2 linked regions of the Canis lupus familiaris genome follow. The protein of the gene in region 1 interacts with the protein of each later gene in a pairwise test. Links are inferred from orthologs where the notes say so. Each region holds a gene or a part of one and is shown on either strand. Other genes may lie near its edges.

The links. The genes of interacting proteins can lie anywhere in the genome.
Region 2: the proteins of CDH1 (region 1) and CBLL1 interact in a two-hybrid assay, tested with the Homo sapiens proteins (2 studies listed by BioGRID, with this or other methods). The link is inferred for Canis lupus familiaris from reciprocal best matches to the Homo sapiens genes CDH1 and CBLL1.

Annotation. Positions count from the first base shown.
Region 1 is NC_049226.1:81,347,855-81,351,363, forward strand, and holds part of CDH1 (cadherin-1 precursor), read right to left. Parts: intron 1,940-3,509; coding exon 1,715-1,939; intron 1,407-1,714; coding exon 1,176-1,406; intron 1-1,175.
Region 2 is NC_049239.1:13,103,214-13,107,197, forward strand, and holds the start of CBLL1 (E3 ubiquitin-protein ligase Hakai), read right to left. Parts: upstream 2,802-3,984; 5' UTR 2,428-2,801; coding exon 2,415-2,427; intron 2,288-2,414; exon of another isoform or gene 2,160-2,287; intron 1,970-2,159; exon of another isoform or gene 1,806-1,969; intron 1,779-1,805; exon of another isoform or gene 1,647-1,778; intron 1-1,646. UniProt on the Homo sapiens protein: E3 ubiquitin-protein ligase that mediates ubiquitination of several tyrosine-phosphorylated Src substrates, including CDH1, CTTN and DOK1. Targets CDH1 for endocytosis and degradation.

The DNA.
Region 1 (3,509 bases):
AAAGTGAAAAGGAGTTCAGAGGGGTGGCAGGAATGTGGTAACTATTGGGAGGACTTTGGCTTTGATTCTGAATTGGAACCACTGAAGGTCTGTGAGGAGGGTTGGGTCAGCCTAAATGTGATTGACAGATACGTAATTATTTTTAATCAGTTCCAAGAAGTGTGACAGAGATCATATGATAGCTTGTATATTCCTTATTTTCTCTTAAGACAAAAATCATGTAAGCAAGCTCTAAAATCTGGTTTCCAAAGTTTTCATGTGACCTTGGGATATTTCGAGGATACATGTGATTAATAACTAATTGTTAAAATTTTTTAAAGCTATTTCTTATGAATGAAAAATGTATTAAACTTCAGTGTGTTTTCTTTATAGGCGTTTGTGCCCCCCAAGTATCTCTATAGGATACACTACTGAAGTAGTATTGCATTGAAACAAGACTTGGAGAAAAAATTTCTTAGAAGTACCCAACCTCCTGGGATGCCTGGGTGACTCAGTGGTTGGGCATCTGCCTTTGGCTTGAGTTGTGATCCAGGGATCCCAGGCTCCCTACAGAGCCTGCTTCTCCCTCTGCCTGTGTCTCTGCCTCTGTGTGTCTCTCATGAATAAATAAATAAAATCTTAAAAAACAAAACAAAAACAAAATCCCAAGCTGGTCCCACTGTTCCCTCTAAGAACTTTCTTCTATTCCAGCCATGTTGGCCTCCTCTTTGCCCTCCACAGTCCAATCAAGCCTTCTCTGTGTCTTCATCAACCATAGGAACCAGCTTGTACATGGGCTCAGGTGAGGATAGTGCTGCAAGGCCTTGCTGTTCCAAGTTGGCCCAACGACCAGCAACATCTGCACCCCCTGGGCGCTGGTTACAAATGTGGAATCTGAGGCCCCCACCCCAGACCTCCCAGATCACCGGATCTGAATTCTCATGCAGGTAAAAGGAAAAAAAAAAAAAAAAAAAAAAAAAAGAACCCTAATGCAGGTGATTTGTAGGTATTTGAGCATGAGAAGAACTGCTGTGAGGGACTGAAAGAACAAAACAGAAGGACTGGGCTCCTGCTAAAATTTAATGGAGTAAGGCTGCCTTCCAGTCTTGGCCAACTTATCTCTGAACTGTTCAGTAAGGGATAAAGATCCCCTATTTTAGAAGCCAAAGGCTGCAACACTTGCCAAGCATACATACTTAGTAGAGCGAGGATTCCTCCGAGAATGCCCAAGATGGCAGGAACCTGCAAGCCTGCTTCGGCGTAAGGCGCCGTCCTCTTGCAGCTGTTGACGACACCTTCGCAGTCGCACACAAACACATCTAGGGTGGTCACCTGGTCCTTGTTCTGGTTATCTGTGAGCTTGAGATTTATTTTGTAGTCACCCAACTCTAAAGTTTTCTTTGGCTTCAAAATTAGAGATTCACGAGCTGGAGGAACCAACAAAAATAAATGATGGGACAAGGGGAGAAAAAAAAATCTCATTCTAGAATAAATACTGGGGTAAAGAAAAAGGAACTGTTTGGGCTGCAGATTACTGGGCAGTATGTTGCAAGTCAGATACCAGAAAGGAAAGGGACATTTGGTGGAATGCCTGGAAAGCAGAAGGGGCAAATAAACAAACATCAAACAAAAGCGGTGACATCTGGGAGCTGAGAAGGGAATTTCAGAAGGGGACGGTGTTGGAAGCAGGGAAAGCATGGGGTCAACGTTTCTGAAGTAAGACTCCAATTCCCACCTGGGTCATTGTACTCGATGGTCCAGTTGACACTTGCGCCGTGTGTTAGTTCTGCTGTGAAGGGAGATGTGTTGGGGGGAAGATCTGGATCAATGATGTTGATGACATGAGGCTGTGGGTTTTTCTGGCAGAAGTCCATATTTCGAGGTTCTGGAATGGGGCCATTGTCATTCACATCAGAGAGGACCAGTAGAAGAGTTCCCGTTCCAGTAGCAACTGGAGAACCTAAGGAAAAAAAAAAGGAAATACCATAGCTCAGAAACATTCATTCATGAAGCTTTACTGCCTCCCTCAGACCAAATCCCAATCTTGGCTTGGCTCTTCAGGGCTCCATCACCAGAAGCCCTCCCCATCCCAGGTCATCTTCACTTTAGATTGGGCTGCTCTCTGGCACCACTTTAATTATTATTCAAATTATTCTCATACCAAGGACATCCTCATCCCTCTTCTACACATACCTTTATGCATCTATTAAACTTTAACCATTCTAAGAATTCCTCATTGCCCCCCTACCAGTTCTCCCTTTTCAGAACTTCTTTGGCTTTAAGGTCATTATCAAAGGGTTGAGCTTTTTTCTTTTTTTTTTTTTTAAGATTTTATTTATTTATTCATCAGAGACAGAGACAGAGACAGAGAAAGAAACAAGGCAGAGGGAGAAGCAGGCTCCATGCAGGGAGCCCAATGTGGGACTCAATCCCAGGACTCCAGGATCACGCCCTGGGCCGAAGGCAGGCACTAAACTGCCGAGCCACCCAGGGATCCCCTAAAATCTTTTTTAAAAATTTAAAAATAAATATATTTATTTATGACAATTCGACACCACCATACCTTAGTCATTATTATCAGGTCAGGGGTCAGCAAACTAATACTTTCAGAGCAATTTAGGAACACAGCTGTGCTCATTCCCCTTTTACAGATTGTCTGGCTGCCTTTTTTTTTTTTTTTTTTTTAATGTTATCTATTTAAGAGAGAGAGAGAAAGAGCAAGGGAGAGTATGAGAGGGAAGGAAAGAGAAAAGCAGGCTCCCCAGCAGCAGGAAGCCCGACACAAGGCTCTATCCCAGAACCCCGAGAACATGACCTGAGCTGAAAGCAATTAACCAATTGAGCCACCCAGGCACCCCTCTATGGCTGCTGCTCGGGTGCAAAGGCAATCAAGACCACATGGGTCTACAAAACTAAAATACTCCCTTGGCCCTTCCTTTACAGAAAGTAAAGGCACCAACCTATGTTCAAGTGACATCTCCTCCACTTATTTCCAGGCCAAGCTGGAGCGTTCCCATGCAGCCAGAGACAGCCACCCGGTGTGGCTGAAGCCAGGGGCTAGCTTTCCCTTCAGGCAAAAGCATTCTGTGACTGAGACCCCATCATGGCCTTATTTGCCTTGCTCTCTGCTTTTAACCTGCTTTCAAATTACAGCTGCAGGAGCACGCTTCAGATTCTAACCGACAGGCCAGACTTATCCAAGGACATTCACAATGTGATGGAGGCTGCATCATTCAACAGCCACCTGTCCAGCTCCATCATGGCCTTACCTGCCCTGCTGTGTTTTCAGATCGTCAAGCCTGGAGTTACTACCTCCAGAAGTTGGGGAGTTGGTAAGAGAAAGAGAATCTATCACAATCCTAGGAAGAGAGCAGGTTTGAACAGTTCCCACATGGTTTCTAAATATCTAGCTGAGGGATATACTTGCACATAAAGGCAAGGACAGGGACATTTACTTATAAAACTCATGGAAATAATGAACAAGTGGAAACCACCCCAGTGCTCTTTAAGATGTGAATGAGTCATTGATG
Region 2 (3,984 bases), on another chromosome or scaffold:
TTGGGTGCAGAGCTTACTTTAAAAATAAAATCTTTTAAAAACAGAAAAGGAGCAGCAGGGATATCTGAGTAGGAACTAATTTTTTAAGTGGTCAGATCATTTGTGAATATTTTCATGCCAGGATGACTCTTACTTTCTGGTCAACATTTTAACTTGGAGAACTAGGATAATACTCAGAGACACACCCAGCCACACTACAACTTCCTAACATACTATCCTCTAAACTGTGGAAGGCGCTTCACTCTCAATTCTAGTAAGGGGCTGTAATGAGAAGTGTTTTGCTGAAGTTGCATGTTTACTACTCTAACACCAAGGTCCCAGATCTCAATTCTACAAAATTTCCAAAACCAGAGTTCCTTACAGCCCGGTTCTTGGCCCTCTTCTTCTCTGTATTCTTGTTCTTTGAGTGATCTCATCCATCCCCATTCCTTAAAACAACAGCTACCTGCTCATAAGTCTCAAATACATATTTTTCAACCCAGATCTTTCCTCTGATCTCCACTTGACATCTCCCCTTATATATCCTCGTACACAGCTCATCCTTTGCAGCCAAAAATCTCATTCTCAAGTTCCCAAGTCTCCCTTTACCACTTAAAAAAAAGACGTCTGTTTTCCTCCCAAGTTTTCCCCAACTTAGTAACGGGCACTGCCTAGCTGCTCAAACCAGAAAGGTAGTCATCTCTCCTTTCTCTCACAAAGCTCCTATTTGAATTCCACCACAACATTCGATATGCCCACTCCCCTTTTCTTTAAACCGAACCAACTTCATTACCGAGCCTCTCTTAGTGTTCTACTGCAATCACCATCTAAACTATTTTCTATCAGTCTTGTCTCTCACACCATTCTCCACAAACAAGTTACTGTGTTTTTAAAAGAAATTATGTTCCTCCTGTACTCCTGCTCAATGGCTTCAGGGATCCCCAGGTGGCTCAGCAGTTTGGCACCTGCCTTCAGCCCAGGGCGTGATCCTGGAGTCCCAGGATTGAGTCTCACATCGGGCTCCCTGCATGGAGCCTGCTTCTCCCTCAGCCTGTGCCTCTGCCTCTCTGTCTCTCATGAATAAATAAATAAAATCTTTAAAAAATAAAATAAAATCTTTACCACGGCCTTCAAAGTCCTGTACCATCTGACTCCCACCGTCCCTTCCAATCTCTTAGGGCTCATTGCTTCTTGCTAAGCTGTAGCTGACTGACCTCTACGTTTTCCTTCCTCAGAGTCTTCATATTTGCTAGACACGCTTTACTCCTGATTAATTCCATGCAGGGATTCTTCTCATCTATCATATCTCAGCTTAGAAATCCAGAAAGACCCTCCCTGACCACTCTCTCTGAAGCCTCCTCCTTTAGTCTTTACCACAGACGCTGTTAATTTTTTTTCCAAGCGCTCATCATGATCTGTAATGCTTAGGTTAAAAAACAACAACAACAACAAAAACTTCTCTATCGTGTCTTTCCCAACAGAATGTAATCTCCATGAGGCCAGGAACGCAGTTGGCCTGGTTTCCAAGTCCATCATTCCCTCTCTAGGCATACTGGGGTCTGGCATAGGTTTTGCTGACTAGCACTCACTAAATTTTATAGACAGAAATAATTTTACGCCTATATGTACAAAATTAAGTAGGCATTTGATGACTGAGAACACCTTACCCAATACTTAATACAAGAAGTATCCTTTTATCCTACTTAGGATATGGCTGATGGAACCACACGGAACAGCAGCCCCAGGTTCACTCACTCACTATCCAAAAGCCACGATGAAAAAAAAAAAGCCAAACAACACACAACGAAGAGCGGAGTCCTTCTTACTTGGAGAAAGAGATGCGGGTATCTTGAATTTAAGCTCTCCTTTGTAAACGCCCCCGAAAGAGGAGTAAGGACCACAGCCGAAGCGCGGAGCAGGCTTTGGGCTCAGACAGAAAAGCCGGTCCGAGCAGGATTCCGAAAACTCTCACCTGGCTCCCCGCTCCGCCTCGGGTCCACGAAGGACCGGCAGCGCCCCCCGCAGCGCCCGCCCGCAGCCCCCTCCCGCGCCCCGACCCTGAGCCTGGAGTCTGCCCGCCGGCACCCGAAACGCAGAGCGGGGCACCACGGTTTAAAAAGAAAAAAAAAAAAAAAAAAGGAGGCAGCGCGCCCCGGTCCCCACGAGGCCGCGCCGCCCACCGTGCGGGCGGGGAGCTCCGCAGCACCAGAGCGGCGGCTGCTGCCGGCACCGAGGCTGTAGGTACCACACCGGAGGGTAGGCCGGGAAACGGCAGGCCCTTGCCGGGCACCGGGAGGGGTCTGTGGGATTTCTCTCTCACCGCCACCCCCCAGCGCTGCAGGGCGAGCGCATCCCCGCTCCGCCCGCCGGGCAGCCAGTCCCAGGCCGGCCGAGGGGGCATGGACCCGGGACCCCCGCTGCCTCCGCCTCCTTACCAGTGTGATCCATGATTCGGCTCGCGGGGCACAGTGGGAGCGGAAGTCAACCGCGCCGGAGTCGCAGGGCGCGCGTGCGCGCTCCCTTCCGGAGCCCGCGAGGCGGAAGTGCGACCGAGCTGCCTCGGCTTGGGCCTCCTCAGGTTCCCCTCTGTCGGGTGGGTGCACTACCCAACTCCGGTGAGGGCGTCTGGCATAGTTCGAGGGAGACAAAGGGGGGTACGCCAAGAGCTTCCAGGTCGAAGGTGCTAAGCCTTGACTACAGAAATGAGACCCGAGGGCACGGGGGAACGGGGAGAGCACCAGCAGCCGGTGGAACGAACTCGCGGCAGGTAAGGCGGCTGCTCGCCCCCGCGGAGCGTTGCCTTCTGGGACTTGTAGTGCGCGGCGGCCTCGGAGCCGGCCGGGCGCAACTGCGCAGACTCGGCCGTTGGGCTTGGCCCCACCCCGGCGGGCGGAGTAACGGTTTGGAATGGCCCGCAGTGCGCGCGCGCCGGCGTCCTCCGCGCGGGGCGGGGGGGGGGGGCGTGCGGGGAGCGGGGGGGGTGCGTAGCCGCGCGCGCTCCGGAAGGCGTCCTCGGCGGGAGGTTGCCCGGGGGACGGCCGCGCCGTGGGAGCGGGGAGGGCTCTCGGCGTGCGGTCTCCATCCCGCCCCGTCCTGGCGGGCCCCGCGGAGCGCACGTGGTACCGGCCCGTGCTCCCACCGAGGAGGTGTGGTAGCGGCGGAGACGCAGCAAGGCGCCCCGCGCGCCCCTCCGCGGGGTGGGGGTGGGGGCGGGGCGGGGCCGCCCGGCGGGGGAGCGGGGGAGCGCGGGGAGCGCGGGGCCCGGGGGGAGGGGCAGCGGGGCGGTACCTAGCTCCAGCTCCTGGTCGCCGGGGGTCGCGGCCGCGGCTGCCTTCATCGTCCCCGGCCAGCGCCGCGGAGTGGGTCCGGGGGCCCCTGAGCGAGGCGGCGGCGGCCTCGCCGACCGGGCTCCGGGTGTGCGCTCCCTTCTCCGACCCTTCGCACCTGGTGCTCTCGGAGGAGTGGGAAGGAGCGCACGATTAAGGAGAAAACACGAGCCTGGGAGCCCAGGGATTTGGGTTCTATTCCTGTCGTCCCTTGGTGACGACATCGTTACCTTGGGTGGTTCACGCTTTCCGTGCCAGAGTTCCTGGATCGATAGAAGAAGATGATGATGATGATTCTCCTGCCCTCCTCCCAGGAGCGTTCTCCGGCCCCGAATCCTGGAGGGAGCGCGTGCGGCGGTGCGCTGGGCCGGTAGTGCTGCAGCGACATCGGCGTGGAGTCCTCGGGAGCGGAACCTTGAGTGCTCCGCGCTCGCCGGTGGATGGAGGTTCTCCTGGGGCCTTTAAAGATTGTACTTGTTCATGAGACACAGAGAGAGAGACCTAGGCAGAGGGAGAAGCAGGCTCCCTGCAGGGGACCCCCCCACACACCCTAAGATCACGACCTGAGCCAAAGCAAAGGCAGATGCTCAACCACCCGAACCAGCCAGGTGCCCCTTCCTGGGGTCTTGAAATACACTTCCCCGCGGCATCTGAAGCTTCCTAAACAAGTTTTTCGGTA